Linked DNA regions of Caenorhabditis elegans. The protein of the gene in region 4 interacts with the protein of the main gene of each other region in a pairwise test. Each region holds a gene or a part of one and is shown on either strand. Other genes may lie near its edges. The genes, in order: tyr-4, chtb-1, F08D12.4 and arrd-8.

Region 1 (8,555 bases), on a different chromosome or scaffold from region 4:
AGGGAGGATTTCAGCATCAAAGTCAAGGAATGTACCAACAACCAATGCAACAGTACAACTATCAGCAACCAGTCAGTTTTTATTCAGAAAAAAATATTTAGAAAACTGAAATTTTTCATTCTAAGCTTCACGGTAATGCCTATCAATTCAAAAAATCGTATTTTTCAGCCAAACCGAGCATATTACCCACCTACCGGTCCTGTCCAACAACAGCAGCCACAACAATATCCTCCACAACACTATCCGGCTCCTGGAGCACAACCACAGTACGCATGCCCACCGAATTCTGTTCCCCAACCTCAACAACAGCAACAACAATGGCCTGCTCCGTCTTCACAGCCTCAACAATATTAACTTTTTGATTTGTTGTGAATATCACCTTTTCCTCCTTGAATCTGTAACTAGTTCCATTGATATTGTGATCACTTCTAACTTATTTTTCTCGATTCGCCACCCGTTTCTGTATAGTCTTTTGCTTCCTCGAGTTCTCGATAAGATAAAAATGAATTCTTTATTGAGTTTGAGGCAAATATTTATTATACACGAAAATAATCGGATAAATTGAGAAAAGGTAACAAAAATTACAAGAGGTCCGGATCAAAAGATGGCATTGAAATTGATGCATTGGCTGCTCGAATGGATCGTTTACCCCATCCACCGCCTCCCCATCCACCTCCACCCCATCCACCTCTTCCACCACCCCATCTTGATCCTCCCCATGGATCATTGTTTCCCCATCCACCACCTCCATTTCCACCCCATCCTCCATTATCTCCGAAATCGTCACGTCCCCAACCTCCACGTGGTGGTTGACGAGATGGATTAGTCTGACGAACTTGTGCAACTGGAGCAACTGATCCAGCTGTAGTTCCACACATTCTACGAAGCTCTGATTGAGTATAGCAACTGTTACAGCTTGATCTACAATTCTCAGCCATCCATGGATTTTTCTGACATTCACCGACACGAGCCCATCCGGCACATGATCTATGGTAGTCGACGCATGCTGAAATATATATTTTTTAATTATAAAAATATTTTTTTAAAAATAAAGCTTACATCCATAATTGTAATCTTCAGGATAGCAATGTCCACATGAAACTCGACAATTACATGCCATATATCTTGTATTTTTTCGGCATTCTCCCATTAATCCCCATACAGCACAGCAAACATTCTCATTGAAACAACCATCAGAATTATCACACTGTTGAGCTGGAGCAGGTGTCGTCGTGGTTACTGTAGTACCACCTCCTCCACACTCTTGAGCACGTGATCTACCACATTTATTACAACTTTTACGGCAATTTTCAGTCATCCAGAGTTGATTTTTGGTGCATTCACCGGAGCGGGACCAGCTACTGCATTGGGTATGACGATCAGTGCAATCTGGAAAATTATCGTAATTTTGCAGTTTTTCGATACACGAACTTAGAGGTGCATGGGTTTATTTGGTTTTTATGGGGCTTGGAGGAACTTTTATTATTTTTGGTCAGTTTTTATTTGTTTCATTTATGTGAGAGTTTATATTTTTCAATTTTATCTTTCTAAACATGAACGGCGCCGGAAAAATCTAATAAAGATACCATAAACTTTTTCCCGGTGGGACCCTTTCAAATAACCCCATGTACCTTTAATTTTCTGAAATTGCCAAATTACAATAGCAAACTTTTTAAAAAGAATTTTACCGAAAAAACCCTTGTGGTAATTTAAATATTTTTTAATTAAAAAATCCTAAAATACAAAATACACTCACCATCAGCCAGTCGATATTTGGGTTTACAAACACCACAACTGGCCTTACACCATTCATTCATATAAGCCGTATTCCTCGAACATTCCCCAGATGCTGCCCATGATGCACAACACTGATTCTCATTGAAACATGATTCTTGAGATTGTACTGGATTTTGAGGTGTTGGAGTTGTTGGAGCAGGTGTTGGACGTGGAGCTGTTGATGAGAGAACACATACACCGTTTTGGCAGATTCCTGAGAAACATGGATTCACACGGAATTGACCACATTGAGATCCTGGACGAATACGAGATACACAACGGGCGGCCCCGGTGGAAGTGTCACAGAAAAGGAATCTGAAATTTACAAATTCCAGTAAGTCTTCCACGGTAGACATCAAGAATATTCCAAATTTTTAGTGTGTGAAAATGTATCATCAAAAATGATCTTATATCTTGTACGACAATCTTTCAAGTTTCACATGAATTTTTTATCTTGAAAGTTTTTGATTCTAAAAAAATTAAACCCTGCCAAAAAATAGCATAGCTGTAATTTTTCAAATATTTGCGTAACATTTCCTAGGTTATTCTGATAATTTTCAAAAAAGTCTCACTTAGAACCGCAATCGCCTCCAGCTTGACATGTTGGCCGTGGTGCATAACTATACAAGTTATCTGTATATTTATTGGATAAACCATCGATATTTCTGAAAATAATTACATTTCCCTGTAATCAATTCACAGTTTCTTTACCTCATTGGACTGAACGGCTGCATTGGAGATGCTCCAAAATGTTGTGCAGAAGCACATAATTGATTATCAGGAGGGAATGCAATTTCCCGATCAGCTCTTGATTGTCTTGCCAATCTCCATTCTTCCCATACAAAATCAATAAATGCATGATGAAGGAAAAATGAAGGATCATTTGAAGAAGTTGCAGTGTCGAACATATCTCCTCCAACAAAAATGTGAACATTTCCATGAGTATATTCAAGACAATTGAAATCAGTTCTATATGGGCATCCTTGTTGTGGTGCAGTAAACGATAATACTTGATCAATTTGTGTCTGTCTCATTACAAAATCAATATCATTTTGTGAAAGTGGAGCTCCTTGTGCTCCGACGGCTCTCAGTATTTGGGCTCTTCCAGCCAAAGTTCGCCAATTTGTGAAGGGTCCATCATTAACAAGTCCGGTACTTCCCATAAGATAGTCACTAAAAATAGAAAAGTGAGTATTATGCGTTAATTTTCTTTAAATTTATACAAATTCTATTAATGATTTAAAACCTACCTGAACATAATAGTATCTGCAGGACGTGGCAGTCTACTATCCAACGTAGAATCCCAATATGGAAGATTAACCGTTGGATCAACTTGGCGTAGAGCAAACTCGACACGTTTCACAAATTCACGATGCCACGGAAGGAATGCTGGTCCAGAATGAGCTCCTCCGGCAGCAGACATTTGTGAGTGAATTCTTCCAATTCTTTCGTATTCACCATTCTGCAATTGAATGTAGAACTTAGAGTTTTAAAGTTTGAACTAACATTTTTGAGAGCACGGAATGCTGCGTGAAGTCTATTTCGTTCATCATCTGTGAGAGTACGGTACTCTTTTCTCACTGATTTTTGAAGTGGCCTTCCATTTGGAAGAGTACAACCGTTTCCAGACGCAGTTCCTATAAATCGATATATGTAGTGTATTCCCGGGAACGCTAGCTTCTAATAGACTTGCAACCGGTTTTCGTTTAAATACATTTCTAATACACCTATTTTTAAAGCATTTCTTCATTTTCTAATTTTCCAGTTTTACCTCTCAAATAAGAACACAAGCAGGGTAAATCCATGCACTGGTAGATATTTGAAGCAATTGGAGCAAACTCAGCTGCCATTCCCTTTGCCATTCCTGGTGGTAATGCAATTTTCTTTTTCTTTGATGCCGCCTGCAATATTTGAGATCTTTGACCGTCTTGTTTCTGACCAACATGTCCTTGACCGCATCACAATTGTAGTTATTTCATTATCATGATTCGCCTGTTTGCCCAGAAAATTTAATGTGGTATCAAAAGAACAAAAAATAAGGAAAGCACGTATTCAGGCGTACATTTATGCTTCATGCTTGCCTGCATACCTGCCTAACTGACATATATTTTTTGTGTATCAAAGTTAACTACGTTGCCTAATTCTAATTTAGCTGTTGTAAGTTCAACAGAAAGATGAAGAATATGTTGAATTGTTCTCTAGCAGAAGGCACAAAACAGGCAACCTAAGCAACCTCAGCAGGCAGGATTAGTTGAAAATGAAAATTCAAAAAGACAGTGCTTTGAGTTAGCTGGATGATAAAAATATGCAACCAAATGGTCACATTTTTACTGATTAAAGTAATAAAACAAATAGAAACACTTCAAAAATATAACACTAACCCTTGCTCCATCATCCCATCTGTGAATCTGCTTGCACATAATTTTTGCTGCTTCTGATGGAGCACTTGCACATGGATCTTCTTGTGCTTGTAAACATAATGGTAATGTTGTAAAGATTATGGGTATCAAAAACCTCATGGTTCAAGGCGTAGAAACCTGAAAATCAAGAAAAATGGAGAACCTTTTTCTTACATAAATTTAAAGTAGAAGACGAGGAATTTTTGTATGATTTTATATTTTCAAATATATACCAAACCCAAACTAAAATATAAAATCAAAAATCAAAAACAATATCATTAGGATTTTCGGGAAAAAATAAAAATAAAATGAATTGCTCAAATTTCAACAGTTCTGAAAAGACTTTTAAAAAATTATTGAAAAGTTTGTTCAACTTTTAATTTTGATGGTATTTTCTAGATTCCATTGGAACATTTTTGGTGGTTAGTGAAGTAGAGAAACATCGAAATAATATCAGAAAGAAGAAAACTAGTCAATTTTTTGTCAATTTAATTGACAACTAAACCCAAAAAACATTTGAAAATTACTGGTTCGATTCAGGGCAAACTGATGAAGTTAAAATGAAGACGAGGCGATTCTCCGTCCCTTTTTCATTTTTTTGTAACAGTTTTTTGTCTTTTACCTTCATCTCTTCTTTTTTATTTTTCGTTGTTTTCTGTGAAATTCGCTGATCTCTTTTTCTTCTTTTGATAATAGTGATAAGAAGTTGATGATGTCATTAATTTCCGAATGACAAAGAATTGGACGAGGAACTGACCTGGTGTTCTCTTTCTGAAACACTTGGGAAAAAACTGAAAACCAAATGAGACTGCGCATGCCGTTTGTAAAATACTTAGCGAATATTTTGGATGCATTTTGCAAGTGGCGAACAATATTTCACAAGTATTTTTCACTACTCTTCCTCGTGCCCTTCCAGCAGATTTTTAATGCAACATTTGTTCTTACAATTCCCGGTTGCTGAACAGCCCTGGCGGGTGGCCCCGTGTAATGTCTTGCTTCAAAATCAGATACTTGCAACCACAAACACCGAACTTTAAAAAAACTTTTATTACAATACAATATTGAATTGTTCCCTTTCGATTCAGTTTCTCGGACAGTTGCTCATTGAGCAGCACCAGCTCCTGGACCAAAATCCTCGTATCCATCGTCCATCTTTGTCTTCTTGCCGTCCTCCTTCACAAGAACATCCATTCCACTTGGCTCGTTTTGCTGAAATTGTTCATATTCTCAACTTTTTCCAAAAGAAATTTTTAGCAGTGTGTTTTCCTAATCAACTTCAAAATCGTAACTGTTACCTTATTAGGATCATCCTCCTTCTTTGCATGATCCTTCGAGGCATCTTTCTTCGGTGTGGCAACAACCTTCTTCTCGGCTTCTTCTTTTGCCTTCTTCTCTTTCAACTCCTTTGCCTCCTTTGCCTTGTCCTTCTCATTCATATCCACAGAAGTTTGGGATCTTGAAACCGACAAATTTGAAGTCTTCTTCTTCGTTTTCGAAGTTTTCTTCTTGTCAGCACAGTCTTTCTTCGTGTTTTTACTCTTTCCAGTCGTCATTTCTTTGTTTTACTTCGATGAATCGAAAGTCTGAAAATGGTCCGTTGATATCAGTTGTTAAGCAGCAAAAATATGTGACTTCCGATTTGCCGAAAGAAATCAATTGTTTTGTTGAAACAAAACATTAAGCAGAGCATCAAGCCAATTTCAAGCTGTCTGAAATCGCACGTTTCTAAAGAGTAAACTCACTTTTTCAACCAGAAGAGAGCTGATCAGAAATAACAATTAATGATTGTGATGTGGATTGAGATGAAGGAAATTTTTTTTTCTGGATGATGACTATCAGATATTTTTTGTAGAACACGTAGAACACATGTTACACGTTATTTTTAAATTAAAAATGTTATTGTATTTTTAGAGAAATATATTTTCTATGGGGCCGATTAATACATTTCATACGGTTGAGTCGTGAAAGGCACTTCTCACTTTTCTCATCACTTGCCTTCTTACTATTAGCAAAACGTCGTGACTTCATATCAAACTCCTGTAACTTAATAAAAAATAATAGTGATAACATTCAAAAAAAAATTCTAAAGTTTATATGAATTTTTGAAAATTGGAAAAATCTCACTTTTTGCCACTTGTTTGGAAGTCGTCGATGAAAACAATGTTACCTTCGATTTTTATGGTCTATTATTGCTTTTAAAATAAATTTTCAAACACTGTAGCACTTTCCTTCGAATGCCCTCCAATTCAAAGAGCGTGTATTTTGTTCAGCCTTACAATTTTTCACAGCATTTCCAATTTTTGATCTTCTAGAGATTCTTTTATCAATCTTCGTCAAATTTAGATTGGATGTTTCATTGATCTTAAATTGAAATAGGTGTAATGAAACTACAGTAAAAAAGTTAAATTAAAAATATAATAGTCTAAAGAAATCCTATTTTAGATTCTACATATTGAATGATGAGTAGTTTTTTTTCAAATAAAAATATTTATGCAGTGAAAATGGTAAATAATATATTTAAAAAAGAAAACAAAAAGACAATTATCACAATTCAAAGATAATTATCACAATTCAAAGAATTTCACACAAAATACACAAGATGGAGGGAAAGGCTATTTGGGGAAAAAGCAAAGTACCTAGATGACAAAAAAATTATTACGGGTTTACAAAATTTTCTAAAAATTTTACTTGATGAGCATATTTAAATTTTAAATATCAAGCTGTTTCAATTGAACATTAAAAAAATGAAACTCCATGCAAATTAGTTTGTAAACTCGTGTTTGAGAATCTAATACATATTTAAATTATTGACTTTCGACAATCCTCTGCGTTTCACAGAATTTCTGATATATTTCACTCTTCCTTATCAACTCGTCATGTGTTCCCTTTTCCACAATTTTACCCTCACTGACGATCGCAATGACGTCACTATTTTGAATTGTGCTCAACCGATGAGCAATGACAAGACACGTGCGACCTTGTTTTGCGGCGTCCAATGCTTCTTGTACAATCTGTAAACAGTGAATAAAACGATATTCTTCAAAGTCAATTTGCTATTTCAATATTTTTCATACAAACCTTTTCACTTTCCGTATCTAATGCACTAGTTGCTTCATCCAAAAGTAAAACAGAAGGAGATCGAACAAGTGCCCGTGCAATGGCAATTCTTTGTTTTTGACCACCCGAAAGTTGAGTTCCTTTCTCTCCGACATGAGTATCATAACCCTGAAATTTTTAGAATGAGTTCTGATTTATGAAAATATCACCCTACATCTGGCAATCCTAGAATGAAATTGTGAATATTTGCCATTTTGGCAGCTTCAACAATTTCTTGATATGTAACATTTCGATTTGTTCCGTAGCAAATATTTTCTCCAATTGTGCAATCAAACAACGTTGGCTCTTGACTTACAATACATACTTGTTCGCGAAGTGAACTGATGTTTAGGTTACGGATGTTATCACCATCAATCATCTAAAATTGTTTGCAGTTAAAACCAATCAGAAAGAAAATTGACTCACAATCATTCCTTTATCTTGATTATAGAATCTCTCCAGCAGTCCCATAATTGTAGATTTTCCACATCCTGAGTGCCCGACAAGTGCAACAGTTTTACCGGCTTTGATCTAAAATAAATATATTAATATTTGTTTTTACAGGTGGGTTAAGAATTGTAGGATCATTGTCTTTTTTTTTTTTCCTATTTTTAAAATTTCAGTAAAAAAGTCAGAGGGCAAGTGCATAAACATTCGATACAAAAACGCAAAAAAAATCCATATCCAGTTTTTAAAAGTCAAGGCTTATTGCTTTTTACCCTAGGATTGCACTACTGTCATATAGAAGTCAGGTATCAAATTAAAACCTACATCAAGAGTGAATCCTTGTAAAACCTTGGTATCCTTTCTTGTTGGATAATTGAAAAATACATTTCTGATTGAAATATTTCCAGTTATCGGCTTCACAATTCCACTATCAGATAGAGAATCAATAGGTGTTGGATGTTCAATAAGATAGAACAAAAGAGAAGCAGCAAGACGAGCTTTTACGACATCAGGAATAAAAGATGTAGTATTTCCAATCATTTGTCCACAGAATGAAATAGCAAAGAATACTCGATAGACATCAATTGGTTGCATAGCTTGTTGATTTACAAAAATACTTCCAAGATAGAATGCAGCAGCATACATGAAGAAAATAAGAGATTGAGAGAATGCAAATACAGCTCCATATGTATGTGCATGTTTCAGATTAGTATTGAATGGTTCCCGAAGATATTCACAGTATGTGAAATGAAATTGTTCCTGACGATTTAAACTATGAACTGTTCGAATGTGTTCAACAGCCTGTGAAGCTACTTTTCCAGCTTCTTCCAACAATTG
Region 2 (9,914 bases), on a different chromosome or scaffold from region 4:
GATATTATGTAGATATTATCTTTTGATTTCAAAGTAACATGTTTTAGGGAAATACCACTTTGTAAACATAACATGAACATACTTATCACTCGACCGCCTGGCCGAGCCTGGTATCCGCCGCGGTTTTTTTTGTCAAATTCGGGGTCCCGTCTTGTCGTGAGATGAAGGAGACACAACCCGCCGCCGCCCTTGTGATCTTTTTCCTACGAACACAAACCCAAATTCCTCAACACTATTTCTCTCCCACCACCAGCAGCACCAAAATCTGATAAAAAATGACAAGTTTTGTCGTAGAGACTCCGCGAGGACAACAAACAGTGGCACGAGCAATCTCTTTCGTGATATAGTGTTGCAAAAAGATGCGCTTGACAGCTTGTCTACGCCATGATGTTTTTTTTTGCTTCCGTGTCTTTTCTAGGTGCGAAAAAAGAACAAAAAAGAAGACAAGTCTCTCCGGATTCGGAAGATGGTTTTGAATGAAAAGTGAGATTTCATTCAATTACATATGAATATGGCCAGTTACGCAAGGAACGAACTGGATGCCATCGAGAAATTAAATGGTCTTGTACTTTTGCAAAAAGAGACCGGTAAAGAAATTAGCAATGATATGCATGGAAATTATTTTCCATTTCTTTTTAATGTACGCTGGAAGTTTTAAAAACAACATTATCTTATTATCAGTTGAGCGAAAAACGCTAAAACATAAGTTACCGAATTTGCATTAACTCAATTGAATTTTTACAGTTACTTATCAAAAGCGGCTTAAATTTTTGGCTTCATCAATAGCACGGAAATTTCAAAATCGGAATGCGCTGCCAACGGATAATCCAAAAACAAAAATCGTTGTGAAGCAGTAATAGATTCAAATTAAAAGGCTTGAAATTAAAAAAAACTGAGAATAAATTTTCACAGTCCATAATATATTAGCTGCCCTGTCCAGTTCAAATTGCCTGACCAACATCGCATCGTATTTGACTAGAGGTGTCTCACTAATTGCGTGCATTGCGCACTTAGAATAATGGAGTTTTGAATTACACGAGATCTTACAAAAATGCGCGTTGTTTTTTATGTCCGGGAATTTGGATTTGGAGGGTCTCAATTTCACTTAAAAGTGGCAATGACTACAAGTGGCAGAACAGTTAAATTACAATGACTCGGTCGAATCGAAACCGAATGTGCACTTTGCAACAGTATACGAGTCGCGGTGGGCGCTTGGTGCTCGATTTTTGTTGGAAATGTGTGCATCGCGCGTCCTTCAATGTTATGGAAATATGCAGTAGTTCCGGAAAACATCATATCATTTTGAAACATTAGCTACATATTATTCGATACATGGATGGTGGATGTTTTAAGTCTTCAAAACTATATGTTTTCAAGAACAGATGTCAAGACTACTGTAGACTACTGTACTGTACTGTAAGACTACTGTAGGTCAATCACTTCCATCATAATCATAAAATTCTTGTGAAATCAACTATAAAATTACGCCACCCTCATCATCACTTCCGATTATTTGTCCTCTTTCATCCGTGCCCGGAATTCGTCCGCGCTGGTCAAGTTGAACTCGTCGACTCTTTTCTTGCCAAGAAGTTGCTCAACCCCCAAAAAACTTGATCCAGTGTTTCCTGGCGGCGGTTTTACCTCATCTGAGACGCCTTAGTGTTGCTCCCCCAAATAACCCTAAAAAAGGAAACAATAGTACTTTTTCGCAAGAGAGACCGCGACCTCGCGCGCGCCTTCTATTCTCGTGCTCATAAGCGCCGAGCTTCTATTTTCGGCCGACTTGATGTAGAAAGAGACAGAGAAAGAGTACTGACCTCTCTCCGTCTTCGCCACCTTCTCAAGCGTCGTGTGCGAATCTCCGCACCGGTACAGTATACGCGGAGAGGAGAAGAGACGAAAGATAGAAACGAAGAAGACGGAGAGGGCGGCGCGTTTCGCATACAAACCTCCCCAACCCCTCGGAAGCTTCCTATCCTCTAGCTCTCACCCTACCTGCTTCATTCGTTCTCTACCTCACCATCGGAGAGAAGACACATTTCACATCTTAACCCCCACCCACAATACCATTATTTTCAAATTCCGTCTTCTTGTTGCTCCGTTGTCTCCTCCCCTTATCTCCCACCCCATCACAGCCTTTTATCACTTTATCAGTGTTCAAATTTTCCAGCGTGGCAATTGTTGTCGAGTCCACCAAAAGAAGAAGAAGAAGATAGCAGCTTTGTTTTCCATCTGAATCGACCACCTTCTTCCATTTATCATATAATCACAAAGCAGTATACACATAATGCTGCGCAATCTCATTTTAATCACCCTCCTCGGTAAGCTTTCTTTCAAATTTTATATAATACATTCTAGATTCTGTTTATTTTTGAAAAATGTTAGCTCTAAAATTAAATACTCTCTCTTGAAAATCTATATTTTTCCATATATTTTCAGAGGCAAAAAAGTTTCTGAATAGTCTAAATTTGATCTTGAATTTAAATGGGTTTATACATAAAACTTATCAAACTTATTCCATCTTATAGTTTACTATTCAACTACTAGATTGCAAGAATTTGTCTGAAAATCTAGGCCTGAAATATCACTGTATTTTGAGAATTTAAATAATAATAATTTCCCATTCATTTTTCTTATCATTTCTCAAACCAATTTTAATTTACAGTCGCTTCTGGACATGGACAGACGCCTGTAATTGGCGGAACGTGTAAACTTGGAACTGCTGATGTTCAAATTGGAGGAAAACAGACACAGTTTTTCCTCAAGTGCGAGACGACAGCTGAGTGAGTTTCATTCAACCAAAACAACTGAAAATCTTTCATTCTTTTAGTAGTGCCGAAGGTGAAGGTGTCTGGGTTGTGAAGTCGAGAGCCGCCGCCGCTCCTTCATCAGTACCATCTGTTCCAGCTGAAAATACACAGCCACAACAACATCCAAAAGCTCGTAAACCAGCTTCCCCGAACATTTGTGGTGAGTTTCTTAGACTTCTTATTCTTCTTCATCACCAACATTTATTCCTCTATTTTAAATCGGTGGAAGCTCTTAAGTCAACTAATGAGCGAGCCCACTTCTGACCGCAAATAAACATCAACCACAGTGGTCAACAATAAGTTGAAATGAACTGTTACGAGCGATAAGGTATCTAGGAAATTGTAGAAGAAAGAAAAGTAGAAAAAAGTGGAAGTCCGACATCTCCAAGCCATATTTGCTTATGCTTCTGACAGTGTTTCTTGTGTATTTGTGTGTTTACATTTAATTCTTTTCCTTTTCCTCTCACTCAATTCAATTCATTCCAAAAAATAAAACACACACATACAAACACACAAACATCACAAATAGTGTGTAGATATTTTGCCAACGAATTCCAAAACTAGATTCACTACATTTCTTGTGACCAAATTTCATCATCTTTTCGAGGAAATTCGAGGAAAATGCGCCACTTTTGTCTGGGATCCTTTGTTTCACAATTCCATTATTTGACCACTCTAATGAACGCAAATGACCTAAATCCTCTTGATGGGAATGAAGAAAAAAACGCAACTTGCGGTGTCTTGCAATTCCTGCTTGCTCCGCCGGCTTTTGTCCACCACTCACTTGCGCACAGTGCGTTGAGAGTCGCCGGCGCGTGACCAAGAGGGGGTTCAACAAATAGGTCAGAAGGTTGATAAGAGAGTGTTGGAGGAAGGGATACGCAGCTCGCAGAGCTCACCAGTCGCCGCCGCGACCTACCGAGGAAAAGTGTTTTGTTTTTAAGAACCCCAGCGAGAAAAGACAGAAGGGATAACTTAATGAGATCGGGGATTTGGTTTAAAACTGAAATTTCATCTTATTATTCTAAATCGATCAATAAAATATTTTCAGAACAAGACAATGGAGCCCGCGAGAGCGAGGTCTGTGCCGTTTCAGCCACCTGTCTTCAGGCTCATAACGACTTCCCATCTTCCTACCTTCAATGTGACCAAACGTAGGAAACCGTTGCATAATAAAAAACAAAATGTTCAATTCCAGCACTCTCCGATGGGTCCGCAAGTCGTGCCAAGAGAACTTCTTGTTCAACTTTGAGCAACAAACTTGTATCGTTCCAAAGAGAATGAGCTCTCTCTCCCGTAAGTTGTTTTTATGATTAACCACATATTATTTCACTAATTGCTTAAACAGCATCAACATCTTCCCCATCTAACACTGAAAATCCCTGCTCGAAATGCCCACTGGGATCAGCTTGCCGCAATGGTAACTGTATCCCTTTAACAACTTCAAGTAGGTTCTAATCACACTTTTCCCGCCTATGATCTCTAACTTTCCATTAGATTTGTGTTCTGATGGTTCTCCTCCTAATAATACATGTACTCGGGATCCGTACTCTTGTCCCAAGGGACATTTTTGTACCGCACAAAAAGTGTGTTGCCCTTCAACTGCATTGCAATCATCAATTGGATGTTCGACGGTCTGCACAATCGATGAATCGTGTCCAAAAGGAATGACATGCCAGAATAACTGCTGTGAAGAAAGAAAACTACTACGACATCCAAAAGTATATCGATATGCAACTGTAGAGGCAACAAATACAATATTTGAAGTGGATAATGATATTTTTGATAGTGCTGCAATCGAATCACTCCCAACTCAAAAACCGCAGCGACTAGATGAAATTATGGCTCCAGGAATCACACCAACTCCGACAAGAACCACTGAACCTCCAAAACTTCGATGTTTGAGTAGTAACACGGACGAGGTCAATTCATTAGGTGCGTTCACTTTTCTTCCTTCCTTTTCTCATCTGTTTGTGGTCACTTTAAAGTATTTCGGAAAGAGCGCTCTCCGTTTCCACCACTGTTTACAAAGTAAATAGGAGCCTAATGAGAAGCACGCGCATTAGCTAACCACCTCATTTCATCAACTGTACTTTTATAGGCGGAGCATCATCATCATCTGCAACATGTGGAGGAACAAATGCGAATTGTACTTCTGATGAAGATTGTCCAACAACCTTCAAATGTTATCAAGGTTGTTGTAAATTGGCTGTATGTCCGAGAAGTCTAACAGCCGTCAAATTCACATGTAAAACTCAATATCACTGTAGAGCAAATGAACATTGCTTTTTTGGAGGATGCTGCCCAAAAACTATCGAATTAGCTGTGATAAAATCACAAGTTTTGACAATGAGCAAAGACAACGAGCACACCAAAGAGACAGAAAAACTGATAATTGGAGACTGTGAAGTGGATACCAGAGTTAAAAAATGTGATATCGATATTATATGCCCAGAGATGTCAGAATGTGTAGATGGAATATGCTGTAAGCAACCACCAAAGGCACGATGTGGAAATGGATTGATGGCTCTTTCGATTCCAGTTCATTGTTCTCTATCAGATGATTGTCCAATTGCTTCTAGATGTGAATATGGGAAATGTTGTCCGTTCCTCTCAGAATCTGCGGATTCCACTTCCGATAGTGTCGGAGAAACCACGCCTGTAATTATAAAAGAAGAAATAATCTCAACAGCAACAAAAGTTTGGAAGAAAGTTGACAAAACCAGTGGTGTATCGATTAACAAAAATGTAAGTTTCTACTCGAGGTGGTAAAATATTCAATGTTATTTTTTAGAAATGTTTATCCACGCAAAGATGTGATTTACATACTCTGTGCCCTCCCGATTTCACTTGCTCACTGTCGGGCAAATGCTGCAAACTGAACATTCATTGCCCAGACGGGACGGTTCCTGAAACTTCATGTCAGTCTGCTAGTAATCATGATCACTGCCCATCATCATCTCACAAATGTACTTTACTCAATAAGGAACATTTTGCATGCTGTTATAGTCCTGGTAAGAAACATGGCATCCCAAACTTAATTGAACTAATGATTTCCAGGACTTGTCGTCGAAGGAAGTGTAACAGCTGAGGTTTCCTCAGAATGCCCCATAGGATCTGTTGAAGTTGATCCAAGATTCGGAACTTCCTGCCGATACAGTTTGCAGTGTCCATCTCCCTATTTCTGTAATCAACGGGGTAGATGCTGTCAATTAGCTAATACCTAAAAGGTGAGGTTCAAAGAAAATGAACTTAATTCAAACTTTATGTATTTCAGATCCAGATACAATGCTTCAATCCCAATCTCTTTGACAAACACGTGTACACCGACATATTCAATTAAATAACATAACTAACCACATTAAACCTTCGCATGAATACTTACTTCTAACATTCTTCATTATGAAAATCCATACTCCAATAATCTCAATTTACATTTGTAATATTTATGTACAGGTCAACAAGCCAGCGGACTCGTGTGCACATTCTCTAGCTGCTCCAACTCCAACCCATGCTCCGTCGGAACTTGCAACAACGGATACTGTTGCTCCAGTGGATCCAACTCTGGCTCAGCTATTATTGGTAAGTATTTTCAATCATTTTTGATCACTTCCCACAACCAGCACACTTCCATAATTCAGATTCTGACACCAACAGCACAACTAACCCGTCACAACCAGAAACCACAAAAACCAAAAATAATACGAAAAAGTCTAACTCTAGTAAAAAGCACAGAAAACCCAAAAAGAAAGACGTGGATCCCCTCTCTGATCCACTTCTTCAAAATGATTTTCCAATCGGACCTCCTGGCTATGGGTTCCCTGAACATTTATCCAACTTGGATGAAGTTCTGATAAGAGCTCAAGGAGATGGTGGTGAGCACCTTCTAACATCACTTGCACCTTCCAGATGTCTTTTACAGTTTCTTGTGCCGGAGGTTTCCAGTCTTCCTTGATCTGCTCTGTTGGTTCAGAATGTCCAGCTGGATTGCACTGTGATACCGCTATTAACCTCTGCTGTCCGCTTTTACTACCACTCACTGATCCTAAGAACCCAAAAAAGAGAAAAACGAAGAGAAGAAAGCAAAAACAAGATGAAAATGAGATGGAAGCTTCAGCAAACTTCCCAGATTCAGATCCTGCACGATTTTCGTCTTACTCATGTGGATGCAGTAATAAAACATTTTTCTAACAAATTGTATGTACAGTCAGATATTTATATTTAACTTTTCAGTGGGCGGAGGATCCAGCAACTGCGTCGGATGCCAGAATGCCCCACAAATCATCACTATCCGTGAGTACTCTGAAAATTTGAACGCTGAACTTATTTCTGATATTTCAGCACAAAACTCATGCCCAGGAGGTGGATACTCTGTCGGAGGATGCAGCTCTGGATATTGTGCCACTGGATACAGTTGCATCCAAAACCAATGCTGCCCATCATACAACTCTGCTCCAAGAATCTCTGTCTGTAAGTTTTATAGTTTATCGATATAGGTATTTATTCAAATGAATCTTATTCTAGACACCTGCCCATCTGGAGGAAACGCTGTTGGAGCCTGCATGTCTGGAAGATGCGCTAGTGGATACACCTGTAGCAACAACGTTTGCTGCCCACAGACCACCACCACTAACCCATTCGGTAATTTTTAATGTAGACTTTACATTCTAATCTTCGAACTTTCCAGTCTGCCCTGATGGAACCCAAGCTGCTGGAGGATGTGTGAACGGACAATGCGGAACTGGATACACTTGCTCCAATGGACTTTGCTGCGCCGGAACATCAACCACTGTCAAATGTCTTGACGGATCTGACGCCGTCGGAGCTTGCATTCCATCATGCACCGGAGATGGATGCGGAGGAGTTCAAGTCTCATACTATTGCGGATCTGGATACACTTGCACCACCGGAAACATTTGCTGCCCCATCAACAGTTGTCCAAATGGAGGAGAAGTTCTCGGCCCAACCATCAATGGACTTTGCCCAACTGGATACACCGTTCAAGGAAACCTTTGCTGCTCTGCCACCTGTACTGATGGATCAACTGGTCTTCCCTCTGTCAACGGAGTTTGTATCGACGGATACTCCCTTACCAACGGAGTCTGCTGCCCAGCAAGTGTCACCTGTACCGATGAGATTTCCATTGGCCCATGCACAGGAACTGGATTCAACGGAGGATGCCCAGCCGGATACGCTTGCGATTCCAACCAAGTTAACTGCTGCCCAGTTGTCAGATATACTGATGAGTCATGCCAAGTCGGACCAGCTATTGATGGACTCTGCCCACCAGGATACGTCGTTGTCTACATTCCAAACAGTCCACTCATCACCAACGGCGTCAATCCAGGAACTTGTATCGATCTTCAGTGTAGTAAGTTATTCAATCAAAATTATATGAACAGTTTTGAACATTATATGATTTCACCTTCATTAATTATGAAAACTTTAGCCACCGGACTTTGCCTCACTGCTAATCAAATCGGAGACTGCGACACAGCAACAGACGCCGGAACCTGCCCAACTGGATACACTTGCTTCACGAACGCCGGAATCTGTTGTTCTACCACTACTTTCAGCCGTCTTCGTATTGGTAACTCTCGACAAATGGCTCAAAAGCCAAACTATGGACGTCCACTTCACAGTTATATGCCTCGTAAGTATGCCTTGTTTTTCTGATCAACGTGTGGCGTGAATTTCTTACTTTGAAAAAAATCTCCCTGGTATCCTCCCTTTTCCACCTCTTCTTCTTCAGCTCGCTTCGGCGGACCATCCTCTTCGTGCTCTGATGGTTCACTCTCATCCGGTCCGTGCATGAACGGTCTTTGTGGAATTGGACTCGAGTGTCAGAATGGCAAATGTTGCTCTCCATCATCGAACAAGCCAGCCGGACTTCTTCAAAGTACTAGTTTGCATGCATCTTCCCCACTGAATCTTTCTCATCTTCCCCTTTACAGGCAAATGTCCATCCGGTGACACCGCCGTCTCCGGATGCTTCCCAAATGGATCATGTGGAACTGGATATGAATGTGTTTCTTCATTAAATCTCTGCTGTCCACCAGGTCAACCACAGACATTCCCATCATTCCCGGGTAACAACAATGGTTTCAACATCAACAACAACAATCGATTCGGATCATTGTCGATGTGTAAGTTTCGTGAAATTTAAAAAATCACGAAGACACATCATCTTCTCTTATAGCGCCGCGACCCATCGGCGCCCGTTGTCAGCTTGACGGCGAGTGCGTCGGACAAGCCGAGGGGCTTTCAATGTGCCACGCTGGAGTTTGCCAGTGCTCTCCGATCGCCTACACGCAAGGAATCGCATGCGTTAGACGAAAGTGTAAGGAATCGCATGTTGAATTCTATCCAGCTCGTCAACTGGCAAATCTGTCCCCTTTTGCATGCTCTATATAGACTTCTAGTCCTTAACAAGCCGATCCATAGCTTCACCATTTTCCTATTTGCCTAGAAGCTTAGACTTATAGACTTCCAGAATCCCATCTAGAGTCTCTGAGCACGCTTGAAATATTTAAAATGTTCTTGCCTTAATTCAATTCTTTTAGCTTTCCAAATGAACGACGACCCAGTGATCGACGCCGCCAACGACGACAAGTCAAGCAGCAGCGTAAGCGTGTGAAGCCTGAAGAGCTGAAGCGTGCATTACAACGTCTCTGCGCTTTGTATTACTTTTCTAGCTCATAATTGTTTTACTTTCCTTTTTTCCAAATATTTATTATCAAACGCTCAATTTCTCTTTTTTTTCAAATTGATTCTAAGTCTTTCCTATCTCCCGTTTCAACCTGTCCACCACTCTTTCACCAAATAATTATTGCCGCAACCTTATTTTTTGTTTTGAATTTGTCCACATTTTTCCCCAGCTGTTTTTGGACAAAAACAGTAATTCCTTGAGAATGTCAAAAAAATATATTTATTAATTTATTCTATTTAAATTATTGCTTCATTCCCTCCACCAAAGTTCTATTCATATAAACCATTTCATCCTATTCTGTTGAAAAATGTGCAAAATTTGAAAAAATAAATCTTGAAGTGAAAAATATTGTTGAAAAAAAATGTTGTTCCTAAAATTAAATAAAAATTTTGAAG
Region 3 (5,828 bases), 9.3 Mb from region 4:
CCCGTAGGCCAAATCCAGTCTTCTCCCAGAAACTTCTAGTTTTTAAGTGGCCTAAAGCATTATACATGACTACTTTCGCGAGCTCACATTGATCCTTCTCGAAAACTAATTCGATTCGGTCTTGGGTAGGAGACCAGACTGCAATGCCAATTCCAGTGGAAAGATGAAGCTCGATGCTTTGGATGGTGCTGTTCAGAAGCTTCACGTGAGCCTTGGTGGAGCACAGTGAGAAGGAGAATCTGCAATTTCGGAAGGTTTCATTACATTACTTGGCTTGACAACAGAATGACTTACAAATTAAGAATCCCCATATTTTGTAAAACATTGCGCAGGTCTTTGCTAGAGAGACGAAGAAGGGGAAAACAGGCAGCCATTTGAGCAGGAGGCACAAATGAGCACAGCGGGAAGAGGGGCCACCTGGAATACAGATAGCGCGTCGCTTATTATTTATTGACCGGTTTGAGTGTACAAGAAAGGCGGAATAAAGTAATAAGGTTCAATGAGACCACCTTTCTATGCATGACATCACTTCCTTGACGTATCCATGGAGCTGCAGTCTTTTGCAGATACGTCTGGCTATTATTCTTTGAACCAATTTGCAAAATGTTACATTTCCTCATATTCTGCCTGCAACCTCCCTTATCCGGCACGGAGCAGATCCATATGACACTGTTCCCAGGTTCTCTGAGCAACAGGACTGAATGTGTGAAGACAGAGACGAATGGTACGATAGCATGTGCATGGCTATGCGGGAAGGATAGGCGGTGTCAGGTAGGACATGATTTTGAGACTTTATATACAGTGTCGGCCAATATTCTATTCGTTTTTGTTTTTACTGTGATTTGCTTGAGTTGTTCAAACACGTATAACTTAAAAACTATAACAGTTTGCAAAATATTTTCAACTAACAAAATGTGGCTGCTAACTTTTTCTACATTCTTAATATTGCCAAAATCCCATCACTTTGTCACGAAAAAAGTTATAGCAACTGACATCCGGCGGGACTGTATTTTGACTAAAACTGCTAAGTGACCCACAACTCTGAAAGCCGTTTTCATAAAACAAAGTTTAATAAGAAAATAATTATTACAAATTTTTCTACATTTCGCAATTTGTTGTTCTGTCACAAAGTCCCCAGGAAAAATTATACAGAAGATTAAACGTGCATAACGAAAGTCAGATTTAACAAAAAATTTTCATAATGCAATCAATATTTTTTTCGGATCAGATTCTGAGTTAAAAAACAATTTAAACATGTTGCAAACGTTTATTATGCGGGTTTTCGTTACAAAAATTGTTATTTAAAGCAATTTAGCATGACTTAAAATTTAGAAATTTGAGCATCATGTTCAACCTTCTGTAGTTTTTCCTGGTCAGTTTGTGACAGAACAACAAATTGCAAAATGTAGAAAAATTTGTAATAATTATTTTCTTATTAAACTTTGTTTTATGAAAACGGCTAGTTTCAGAGTTGTGAGTCACTTAGCAATTTTAGTCAAAATACAGTCCCGCCGGATGTCAGCTGCTATAACTTTTTTCGTGACAAAGTGATGGGATTTTGACAATATTGTGAATGCAGAAAAAGTTAGCAGCAACATTTTGTTAGTTGAAAATATTTTGCAAACTGTTATAGTTTTTGAGTTAGACGTGTTTGAACAACTCAAGCAAATTTCCGAAAACCCGAAAACGAATAGAATATTGGCCGGCACTGTATGTATGTGTAAAGTTATTTGTGATAGATAGCGCACTGGAAAGTTCGTGTTTGCTATGTGAGTATGGAGCTGTTAGAGAGATTGCAAGAGGGAGCTCCGGTGGCTTGATAGCTTGGAAGGTATGTCTATGTCGAAACCCCAAACCGGTCAAAATCTGTAGCGCACCGTTCAGAAGCTTGATTTGATGGGGTTGGGAGGTAAGAGGCAGGATAGGTGTTGGTTGCCTCAACCTGAAACGGTGAAACGATTCGTAGTTGCGCTCTACTAAGCTTTGACTGGCTCAACAGGTAAAGCGGTAGCGGCCTGAAGGATGCCAAAAAGCTTAAGTTTTGCCGCTCCTGCTTATCTGTAACATAGAACCTACAAGAGACTGATTGTAGCAAAAGTTTAGCCACTTACCAAGTTCGCAAGGTAAGGTAAGCAAGCTAAGCAGTTCGATAGTCCGCGATTATGATACCTTATAGTCATGGTCATAGACTTCTGGCCATGTTAAACAATGCTCATTTACAGAGATCCGTGCCTAACACCGACCTGAGCCAGCCTATCACTTCATGCCCAGCTTCCACAGTGACACTTCCAACCTGTGAAGTTGGGTGGAAGCTGTTCCCACGCTACGATACTTATTTGTGTCTAACGGTAGATCATTTCAGTTTTTGAAACCTTCTCACAACCCATATTCCAGCTAGGCATCAATCGAAAGGAACGTGACGGATACTTATTACAGTTTGATCAAATTTCCAGTTATGTTGCTTGCAGATGGGATGGATCGAAGTTCATAGATGGTATATTAAGTGGGCTGGAGAGCGATGAGGAGAGAGCTTACGCGTCGGGTAAGGCTCCTTAAGTCCCTTGATCTTGTAAAATTTTCAATGTACAAGTTTCAGACCGAGCTTATCAAATAATGCTACAGAACATGAACGAGACATTGTTCGAATTCCCATCAAGTGAGCGACTGGGCTGGGGTGTGTGGTCAGGCGTTCCAAATAACACATAACATGAACAAAACACCATCAGGGAGTGTAGCGCGTTTTTGGGGTGTATGGATTGACGGGATGTTAGATGTTGGGAAAGTATGTTCTTTCGTCCGTTGAGCAGCTAATGTTTAGCTTTAGAAAATCAAGTACACGGATACCACACTCAACTTGAAACGTGGATACAGGTGGGCCAAAAACTATCCACTTTGGGATTACTTACCATCTCGACCATGCATTCAGCTGGTTGTAACGACCGATCGAACTTTAGAAATTAATGGAACTCTCGTAAACTCTAAGTATGCACTATATTTTAAATTAGGAAGGAACCGTTGTTTTTGTTTTCAGCTGCGGCGGAGTATATATTGTTTACAACAAACTGGTCGTTTGCGGAAAGAAGCCTATTTATTGAAATTGGCTCAGCTCAGGCTACTGGTCTTTTCACATTTATTGCTTACAATTGGATAGCTTGGAAAGTATTTGTTAACAATAGTCAATAAAATTCTTAATGGCATTATCTGAAATATATTCTGGTTAAAATTCTAGATTGTGAAAACTGTTAAGAACGAGCTGAAAAACTAAGAACCTGGTGGACTTTGTCAAATGATTGAACATATTGGAAGAGCTGGATCAAAAGTTAATTGAACTATTCCATTTTACAGATCCTACATTTGGTGAAATATCTACAAATTATCGTAAAGTAAAGAATTCCTATTTCCATGGAAATGAAGAAAGAATCTGGCTTAATGCTTTTTACCAGGCGTACTTTTTAATGTTTCTTAGTTTTTATTGGTGAGCTTTTTGAGAGGATATTCACTTTGCCAGCCTCAACATGCACAAGCTGCTGTACTGTTTTATTCTCTCTATAAAGCTTATTGTGCGTAACTCCCTATCAGACATCCAAATGACTCTGCTCCGTGGAACTGTGCGCACAAAAACTAGTTGTCAGCTGGTTTCAGCTATTGGAACTCAAAATTGTACAGTGTGGGAAGGATATGAGGTGTCAGGTAGGATATTACTTTTTAACTACATATATGTAACCCTATTTGTATAAGATAGCATACTGGATAACTAAAAAAGGTCCGTGCTTCAATTGTGAATATGGAGCTGTTGCAGAAATTACACCAGGCAATTCGAATACTAGTTACATTACGTGGAAGGTACATATGTTGCCGTTGAACTTCTACGTACGTAGTTTATGTCCTTTTCTTTTCAGAGATCCGTGCCAAACACCAACCTGAGCCAACCTATCACCTCCTGCCCAGCTTCTACTGTGAAATTTCCCACCTGTAAAGTTGGGTGGAAGCTTTTCCCACGTTACAATACTTATTGGTGTCTCACGGTAATTTATGTTAGTTCTCGAAACCTTCTGATACATATATTCCAGCTAGGCATCAATCGAAGGGAACGTGACGGATACTTGCTACAGTTTGATCAAAGTTTCAGTTATGTTGCTTGCAGATGGGATGGATCGGAGTTCATCGATGGTAGAATAAGTGGGCTGGAGAGCAATGAGGAGAGAGCTTACGCGACGGGTAAGCCCCCTTAAGCCGCCGTTTTTGTTAAGTTTCCAGTGAACTAGTTTCAGACCGAGCTTATCAAATAATGAAGCAAAACATGCGCGAGACATTGTTCGTATTCCCATCAAATGTGCGACTGGGCTGGGGTGTGTGGGTTGATGGAGTGAAAGATGTGGCAGGTGTAAGTCCCTACCGATGTTCTCGTCAGACGTTTGAGACTTCCAGCAAGTCAAGTACAGTGACACCACGCTCAACTTAAAACTCGGATACAAATGGGATATCGGGCAGCCAAATTGGGTCTCACGAAAGCAGGCATGCGTTATGTTAATGGTTCCGGTAAACCAGAGTAGTAGGAGCAATGGAAGTCTGAGAACTGCAGAGTATGTAAGATTGTAAAAACTTTGGCAATTCAAATAAAAATTAAAAGTTTCCAGCTGCGGTCTATATAGGACGTACCTCCCCAAGTTGGCTGTTTGCGGAAAAATGCCGAATTATTAGACTTTGGTTTGGCAGCTTATTTTGAATAAATAATTTAATTTTTGAATGCTGAACTATTTTATTATATAACTAAAAGTTTTATATTCAAATCTCCCCTCTCTTTATTACCATAAATCAACAGTTTTGAGTTTGCACACCTTTAAACAAACTACTTTAAATTCAAAATAATTCAAAAATGGTTTAAAATGCCAGCAGGATAAGCCAAAACTCCTAAATTTCGAGAATGTCCCGAACCTTTCTGACTATCTTCTTCTGTTCAGCAGTGGCTCCAGGTGAGCATTGTTCTTCAACTTTTTGTGAAAATCAGGATGAAGCCTTATTCAGGAGCAACCTCCTCAGCTTCCACCTGCAAATCTCCAACTGGGCCTGCTATTGGAGGTGCCTGTGCTGCTGGCCAGGTTGTCATTCAGGACTACTGCTGTTGGGAGGATGATGTCTACAGTAGGATCGGTTTTGAGATTACAACATTTCTATTGAAAAATTATTTAGAGCTTCCCGCTGAGAGCTGCAAAAACGCATTTGGTCCGGCTATAATGGGATACTGCTCGGACGGGCAAGTTGTCGTAGGAGATATTTGTTGCGAAGCTCAGGATGTATACGGTAGGGCACTTGACATTCCAGCTTCCAGGGAATCCCTGTTTCAGATTCATCCACCGCGACTTGTCAGGAAGGTAAATCTGTCGGGCCGGCGGGCGCTGGAGGATCCTGTCCTCAAGGGGCCTCTATTACCAAGGGAAGTGTCTGCTGCTGGAACGAAGGGATTCAAGGTGAGGTTTATTATCTGACTGAGAAATTTTTCAGTCTTAGTCCTAACCTATACCTTTTCTCAATTCTAGACGCCCCCGCTTCCGCCTGCAAGTCCTCTGCTAGTCCAGCAATTCTTGGAATCTGCCCATCCGGACAAGTACTCATCGGAAATTATTGTTGTGAAGCTAAAGATGTGTACGGTAGGTTAGTTAAGATTGAAACTTTTGGAGAGAATGATTTCCAGACCCATCCACCGCTACTTGTCAGAGGGGTTACGAAGCTGGACCGTATGGCACCGGCTTAACCTGCCCGGAAGGTACCTCTCCCACAACAAAGGAAGCCGTCTGCTGCTATTTCGACGGAATTCAAGGTGTGATTTG
Region 4 (7,297 bases):
TTTGCCGCATATCCCCGGTTTAGAGGTAGGTAAACATTCTGGGAGCTTTTTGGATTTTTTTATTTTAATTTTATCTAATACAATTTAAAATAGAGTGGGGCGAAAAAAGTTTCATATTTTTTCAAAAAATTAAAATTTTCCAAAAACCCCATTAATCATACGTTCAACGTGCTCCTAATTTTTTCTGTAGTGATCTATTTAAAAGGCCTTCTTTCAAATCATATAGGTTAAATTTGAAAGTCTAACTGCATAACTTCTGTTACCTTTTTGTCATCTTGTGTTTTTTTCGCAATTCATCTATGAGGGCAACGCCAGGAATTATGCCAGTATGCAAGTGTTCTTCTTTATGCCTATACAATAAATGCTCATAAATAAATCGTTCATTGCATTTATCACAATAATACTTAAACCTGAAAATAGTGTTATGCGATTCGTTTTATTCTGAGCTATGAAATTGCTCAAATCAGAGCGGTAAACAAACTTTTTTCTTGGAATGTTTCTGTTGAAATGGGTTAGTTGTTCGTGATTCGATAAATCCGATTCAGCGTGAAAGGCACTCATACATTTTTGACAAGCAAACAGCAACCTGCAAAAAATTTGGCAATACAATTTTGATCAAAATTATTTATACTGTCGCAAAAAAATTTAGTAAGATGGCACAAAATTGAGTTATTTTGATGCTTAAACAGACACACTACACGGAACTTATTCAGAAACCAGATTTTTGTTTAGAATTTAGTAGTTTTGGTGCACCAAAAAACATCAAAAAGTATCAAATTTTTTGGAGTTTGTTCAGCGATTACAATACGTTTTCCATTTATTTCTTTTTGAAATGATAATTCAATCGAAGCTTGAATTTTCGCTTACTACTTTTTTTTGCTTTAGGTAGAAAAACATTACTCCTAGTAGTAGGTAGGCCTAATATGGTTAATATGTTTGGAGCAGGTCTACAACACAAATACCAACTTGACAAATGCCGAAAATACAAATTCTCGGCAAAAAGGCAACGGCTACAGTTCTGGCAAATTGTAATTTCGCTATTTTTTCTGGCAGCTTCCAAAAGAAATTGCCAGAAACTCTGACTCACTCATTATCTTCATTCCATTCTACATTGAGTTTCCTGACTCCTTCTGTTACTTCTCCGACTTCTATGTCAATTGTTTTCAATCTTTCAGGTCCATTATTAGTTTCATAATTACCAGTCTGAAGTTGAAAAAATTATCATTATTTTTAGCCTAGTTTTTATACCCACAAAGTTAAGTGTTTCTTGCACCGGGAATAAGTATTCTTGAAAAACTAAATAAAGAAATTCTTTCTTCAAAAGCTAAATATGTTAACCTCATTTCCATTTTCCGAAATAGTCTATTTGTTGGATTTGTATTATTATGTTTTGCTAAGCCATACCAAAAAAACTATACAAGGCACGTACGAAATACTCCAAAAAAATTAATTTAAAATATAATCCTTCAAAGGAATTTTTTTTACTTCTTGGAATATTTACTCATGCCCGTTTCTAAAACGTTACACACGCCAGATAATTTTTCTCGTCTTTTGTAATATTTAACCTCAAAAAACTTACCCGAAGTAATTCTTGAAGCTCAGCAATTTTCTTCTCAATTTCGTCTTTAGTCAACTTTGATGACATCATTCTAAAGAAATTAATTCAATCCCCAACAGAAGGCAACAGATTTTTTAAAGTTAAATTTCTCAAAAAGGACATCTGAAAAGTTGTTTCAAATTAGTCTTAATAAGAAGCGTGCAGCTAATGCTTTTCAAAAAAATTTATAATACAGTTGCATTAAAATTTGGATTTGTCTGAAAGTATTCGAAACAAAATTGTTTTATACAAGTTATCACTTAGGACAAATAAAATGCTTTTTTTTTATTCTAAAATTGGAAATACTGAGCACTCAAATTCAAATTCATTCATTGCATTAAACGTTTCAAAACGGAAAATACATTACTATGAAATACTTAAAGCAATCGATGAACTACGGGAGACGTTGTGCGAGAAGCGGATGTACGCAGAGACATAGAGAACAAAAGAATGCACATGCACATCTGCTCACTTAGCAGTCATGAAGCAAATCCGCCGGCACTACACTGATGTAATTAAACCGGCAAATTAAAAATTTAATTTACTGAAAATGAGAATTCGATATACACACACGAAAAAATGTTAAAAATGTTCTTCATTTTCATATTCCGGCGGTGGAGCACTTGCCTGAGAATCTTCTACAATTTGACTGAAGTTTTCATATTTAGGAGGAGCTTCCGTAATAGAATAGGCAATTGGTCTTGTGAATACTCCAATGGGAATTGTTCCAACAGTAATCGGAAGTTCACATCTCAATTTCTTATTCTCTCCGATATCCACAATAATACAATAGTCTACTTCAATAATTCCTGTTCGAAAACTAGGAACCAACTGATTCGGCAGAACAAGTGGCACATTTATTTGGCTATTTGAGCAAAATTCCACGTGACAACTCTTCTCAACTTTCGACATTGTGGTTTGAGCAGTTTTATGCTCACAATGTTTATGACAATGTTCTTCTGGAAATAGATGAGAATTCTCTTGTTGAGCCTGATAATGCACGTGCTGCTCCAATTTTGCTTTTATAGAATATATAGGCTTCTTCGTGTGATTTTGAATTAGAGCAGATACTTGGATGGTCTCTCCTGGGATGTATCCGGATTTTGGGATGGAGATCTGTAAATATTAATTTGTTAATTGAGTCATTATTTGTTATTAGCATGAAATAAAAAAAATTATGTTACCTTAACTTTAACCTCTTTGTTAGAAAATAATCCAGAATGCTTGCAAGAAGATACGATCATTGGATTGATTGTTTTTGGAATGGAGTTTAAATCGATAACCGGAATCACTGAAATATTCGAAATTAAATTTTAAATGTGATTTGCTTTTATAGATAAATTGCTAATGATTTCAAGCTTCAGTTTAGCCCAGACGGGGTTAAAATCAGGGCTCAGCGGCAAACGATTTTTCCGGCAAAATTAGCGAATTGGCAATTACCGAAATTGAAAATTTCCGGCAAATATAGCAAATTGACAATTTGCCCAATTTGCCGGAAAATCTGTATTTGCCGATAGTTGTGAGTTTTTCTGGAACTTTCAGAATTTCAGTTTTAAACGAAAAAATTGTACACATCCGATGAATAGCCTTACATCTATTTTTAAAAGTCAGTGAATTCTATGAGAATATCGTTAAAAAACGGGGGAAAATTTCAAAAAGGCACAGTTTCAAGTTTCCGTCTTCTCCGGCAAATTGTTATCCGGCAAACGGCAGATCGGCAATTGGCCGAAATTTAAAATTTCCGGCAAAAAAAGACAATTTGCGGATTTGCGAGATATTATATTTTGACACAAAAAATATTCACATTAAATCATGATTTCTTTTCTTTTTCAGGTCGTATCAAAATCGTTTCCAACTCACCAGAAAACACCCTCTTCGCTTCAACATTCATCCTCCATGGCCTATCTAATTCCACGTGTACCGAATATCGAACATTTCCATGCGTCCCTTCAAAACTCGGTGGTAGATTTGCAGGAAGTTGGAAGAGAAACGGAAATATGTTCACACCGCCAGGGATTTTATTGTTCTAAATGTGGTGTGTAAATATTAAAGTGTATTCAAATTTACTAACCGCGTTTTCAATGGAACTCCATGGCTGGGCGATTCCTTCCAAGACGTTTATCTTGCTAGTATAGTTGATATGTTCAGAGCTACGATACCATCGACCATGTCGGTCACTGAAAAGAAATATGGTGGTTAAAATCAGGGGAGCGCGGCAAATTTCAAAAAACTGGTTCAGCCGAATTCGCCGCGCTCGGCAAATTTTGAAATTTGCCGCACACATCACAAATAGGCTTTTTTTTCAAATTTGGCCAAAACTGTTGATTTTGTTCAAAAAATTATAGTAAAATAACATGAAGTTGAGTTCAAAGTTGTGCTAAAAATTCAGTAGTTTTGGCGCTTCTAGAAATATCAAAATGTTCTCATTTTTCGGAGTTTGCCCAGCACGGCAAGATTGCCCAATTTGCCCAATTAGCCAAGCTCGGCAAATTTTGAATGTACCTTTAAATAGTGGATAATCTGATTACTGTTTTGGAAAGGAGAGAGATGAATATCTGGCGGAAGTATTTAAATTTTGTATGTACCATAAAACGAGCGGCAATAATAATTTCATATATTTTTTAACGAAGCTTCTATTGGCGATTTTAGTTGTATTTTCATGTCATCAGAACTTATAAATTAGTAAGTAATCTTCCTCTACGTCACTTTCATTTCAGAACCTTACATATTGGCTCACTTCAAATGCCTAACCCCAAATTGAGAAATTCAGATTTTTCTGGAAAAACAACTCTGGCCGAAAACTTGAATTTTCTGAGAAATTTTTTTACTGAAACTCGTTTTTCTTGACTATTTTTTGAAATTTTAAATAGTCCCCAAAACTCACTATCTCCCTTTATTCTCAAATTTCCTCCACAACGTTTCAATATCTCCATGGATGCAAATTTTCAGAGCCAGTGCATTTAAAGCATTTCGATTTCTGATTGTTAGCTTCCCTGCTACATTCTGTCCAGGGGAGTATACAGCGGCAGGATGGTCGAATTCAATGAGAAATGTGGTGTCTCCCATTTTTTGTAAGTCTGACATGAAATTATACTATATTACAGCTTTACATCCAATATTTTTCTTTACAATTAGTTGATATAAATAAGTTCCGAATAAAAACTAGAAAAAAAATCTTAAAAAAGAAACAACTCAGTTCATTCCATTCTCTTATCAACTAATAACTTTTATTTATAAAACATGCACCATGTTTACGTCATGTTTTCTTGCCGGAAAATTGATAAAGTCTGAAAACGTGCAAAAACGTCATAGACAACGTACTTCATTGGTCTTTTTTTTCTTTTCAGTGCAAACTTTGAGCATGAATCAGAACAATATACTATTTATGGGTTATTTGTGTATTTATACTTTATGCGATGACGTGGTTCTTCACAAGTTTTTAATGTTAACATGGTTATTAAATATAAATCGGTGTGCTTTTTTTAAAAATTCGCTATGAATTGGAATTTATCGATTATATATTATTAAAGTTATTAAAGATAGTGTATTGTTAACGGGGTTTTGATTTAAGATACCCTGAAAAATCTAATTTTGGCTAAAATTTTGATATTCCATTTTTATTTTGAATTCGCTCCAAATTCAGAAGGCAAAATATATTTTAAAAAACTAACCAAAAAATTTACAGTCAATAGTTTTTTTGTTTAAATTGCTTTGGTTATGTTCGTGCAAAAAAAAAGTGTCCTGACTATAAAAATAGCAAATTTTCCGTACTTTCAAATGAATGTATGACCGTCTTTGTAGCTACGAAATTCATTTCAAAAAACCCGAAAAATGTTTTTTTTCAATTCCACCACCATAAAAAAAAGTTTGGAAATTATATTAGGTTCGCTATGTTTAATTGTGAGTAGAAAAAAAGTTTCCTGACTTGAAATATAGCAAATTTTTTTCTCTTTGAGAAAAATGATTTGTCGCGTTTAAACGCGACAAAACATAGTTCATAGTTGGCCAAAATGTTTTTTTGTAAGCTTAATAAATTCCTCTAATTATTTGAAACAGTTCCTACAAAACCGTTTTCATTTATTTTATATTTTAGAGCAAAAAAGTACGGCATATAACTTCTAGCTGGAGATTTAGGAGAAATTCAAATAGGAATTTTAGGAAAAAATTAAAAGCCTCCTTCCTCAAATTTTTTTTCAAATTTTTAGTTATTTTTGTTACTCAATTTCAACTCTAACTTCAAGATATTCTTCAAAATATGAGTTTTAAATTTTTATTTAGTTCTGGATTTTTTATGATTTTTTTTTCATTTTTCAAAGAAGAAAATGTATTGCATTCTAAATATTTTTACAGGAAAATTGAAAATTTTTCGCCGATTGCCATGTTACGTATTGGATTTTTTGTCGTTTTTTTCCAATTAAAAAAAAATAATTTTAGAGAAAAAAAAAACGAAAAATCAAAAGAGAATCAACTATGTGTAATTTTTTGACAAACTTTGCAAAAGTTTAGAAAAATTCTATAATTATTTTAACAATCTTAATTATAATAATAAATCATATTAATAATAATAAATTTTAACAATTTAACGGTCAATTTTTTAAATTTTAGAACAAAATTCCCCGAATCCGTTGATAAATTTCTTAAAATAAATTGAAAAATTAAATTCCTACATTTTGATCTATTCCATCCCATTTTACTACTTGTTTTTATGATTTTGGTCTCTAACACATTAAATACCATCCCAACATACAATATTTGTTCTTCCCCCCTCCTAGGTCTCTCAAAACAAATACTATCTAGGTGTCCAAAATGCATGCACATTTTGGAAAATTTCGCAAACCTAGTGACGGAATTTTCACCGTTTTTTGTTAGTCACCAAATAAGCTGGCTCTACTGATAAGTGCTATCATTGAATTTAATGTATTCTTGAGAGCAGTTTCATAATTATTTCAGTGTGCTGGAAACAACTTTTTGATTGTGATTTTATATTTCAGAATCGATATGATTTTCTGTTGATTTTTTTGTAATTTTTAATGTTTAAAGTTAGATTATTACGTCGAAAACATAAGCTTTGAAAAATTCCAGAAAAATTGGTATTATAAACTTTTGTTCAGGAGTTTTTAGCCAAAAATAATTAAATGTTTTCGCTACGAATTTTCAGTCTAAACTTACTAGTAAAGTTCTTCCAAAAACATTTTCAGCCAAAATTTTATAGCAAAGAATAATTCAGTCAAACCAGAAAATATTATTCTATACAAAATGCGCTATAAATATTTTCCACCTAGAAAATTTAATCAAAAATTTACAGACCAAAAATATTGCGATAAGCATTTTTATGCCAGGTTTCCAAGCCAATTTATTCAGTTTGATCTTGCTAGGCGAAAATTCAAAAAAAATTTTTAGCCCTCTAAAAACTTCAAAATGTTCAGCTTGAAAATTTCAGTCAAAATTATAATTTTGAAATTCTACGCATTTTTAAAAAATTCTCATACTATTAATTATGTCAGCTAATAATAATTAGAATATTACCAGAAATGGACGACTTGCGAATTGAGTACGACGCTCCGAACGATGTATACTTCCCAGGACAGGCTGTCACCGGAAAAGTAATCATACAGAATCGTGAATGGATCAAAGCGAGGTTTCTGAAAATTTGCATTCACGGAGGTGCACATACGCATTGGAGTGAAAGTCGCAGCACAT

What was found.
Region 1: the proteins of arrd-8 (region 4) and tyr-4 interact in a two-hybrid assay, tested with the Caenorhabditis elegans proteins (one large-scale study listed by BioGRID).
Region 2: the proteins of arrd-8 (region 4) and chtb-1 interact in a two-hybrid assay, tested with the Caenorhabditis elegans proteins (one large-scale study listed by BioGRID).
Region 3: the proteins of arrd-8 (region 4) and F08D12.4 interact in a two-hybrid assay, tested with the Caenorhabditis elegans proteins (one large-scale study listed by BioGRID).

The regions. Positions count from the first base shown.
Region 1 is NC_003279.8:5,894,061-5,902,615, reverse strand, and holds tyr-4 (ShKT domain-containing protein), read right to left. Parts: upstream 4,314-8,555; 5' UTR 4,296-4,313; coding exon 4,158-4,295; intron 3,678-4,157; coding exon 3,548-3,677; intron 3,414-3,547; coding exon 3,283-3,413; intron 3,239-3,282; coding exon 3,027-3,238; intron 2,950-3,026; coding exon 2,488-2,949; intron 2,442-2,487; coding exon 2,349-2,441; intron 2,092-2,348; coding exon 1,757-2,091; intron 1,390-1,756; coding exon 1,060-1,389; intron 1,007-1,059; coding exon 582-1,006; 3' UTR 501-581; downstream 1-500. Other genes in the region: stam-1 (Signal transducing adapter molecule 1), read left to right, coding at 1-71, 169-354; C34G6.3 (Non-histone chromosomal protein HMG-14), read right to left, coding at 5,277-5,384, 5,471-5,728; pgp-2 (ABC-type xenobiotic transporter), read right to left, coding at 6,980-7,186, 7,254-7,400, 7,447-7,650, 7,698-7,802, 8,043-8,555.
Region 2 is NC_003281.10:9,347,719-9,357,632, reverse strand, and holds chtb-1 (Chitin binding domain (ChtBD2) containing chtb-1), read left to right. Parts: upstream 1-2,287; coding exon 2,288-2,321; intron 2,322-2,665; coding exon 2,666-2,783; intron 2,784-2,830; coding exon 2,831-2,970; intron 2,971-3,233; exon of another isoform or gene 3,234-3,413; intron 3,414-3,861; coding exon 3,862-3,964; intron 3,965-4,008; coding exon 4,009-4,106; intron 4,107-4,158; coding exon 4,159-4,257; intron 4,258-4,307; coding exon 4,308-4,745; intron 4,746-4,911; coding exon 4,912-5,558; intron 5,559-5,604; coding exon 5,605-5,824; intron 5,825-5,870; coding exon 5,871-6,008; intron 6,009-6,266; coding exon 6,267-6,392; intron 6,393-6,451; coding exon 6,452-6,685; intron 6,686-6,732; coding exon 6,733-6,981; intron 6,982-7,043; coding exon 7,044-7,103; intron 7,104-7,151; coding exon 7,152-7,280; intron 7,281-7,334; coding exon 7,335-7,451; intron 7,452-7,497; coding exon 7,498-8,181; intron 8,182-8,259; coding exon 8,260-8,463; intron 8,464-8,562; coding exon 8,563-8,709; and 9 more.
Region 3 is NC_003280.10:2,774,631-2,780,458, forward strand, and holds F08D12.4 (CW domain-containing protein), read left to right. Parts: upstream 1-3,515; coding exon 3,516-3,690; intron 3,691-3,799; coding exon 3,800-3,843; intron 3,844-3,899; coding exon 3,900-4,025; intron 4,026-4,070; coding exon 4,071-4,218; intron 4,219-4,271; coding exon 4,272-4,384; intron 4,385-4,428; coding exon 4,429-4,587; intron 4,588-4,637; coding exon 4,638-4,652; downstream 4,653-5,828. Other genes in the region: fbxb-111 (F-box associated domain-containing protein), read right to left, coding at 1-239, 295-374; F08D12.3 (CC domain-containing protein), read left to right, coding at 4,925-4,973, 5,026-5,142, 5,191-5,301, 5,346-5,468, 5,538-5,648, 5,693-5,818.
Region 4 is NC_003280.10:12,062,451-12,069,747, reverse strand, and holds arrd-8 (Arrestin C-terminal-like domain-containing protein), read right to left. Parts: upstream 4,664-7,297; coding exon 4,482-4,663; intron 3,775-4,481; coding exon 3,669-3,774; intron 3,624-3,668; coding exon 3,458-3,623; intron 2,889-3,457; coding exon 2,782-2,888; intron 2,714-2,781; coding exon 2,180-2,713; 3' UTR 2,110-2,179; downstream 1-2,109. Other genes in the region: Y17G7B.22 (C2H2-type domain-containing protein), read right to left, coding at 264-410, 482-586, 1,088-1,203, 1,580-1,645; arrd-7 (Arrestin C-terminal-like domain-containing protein), read left to right, coding at 7,129-7,297.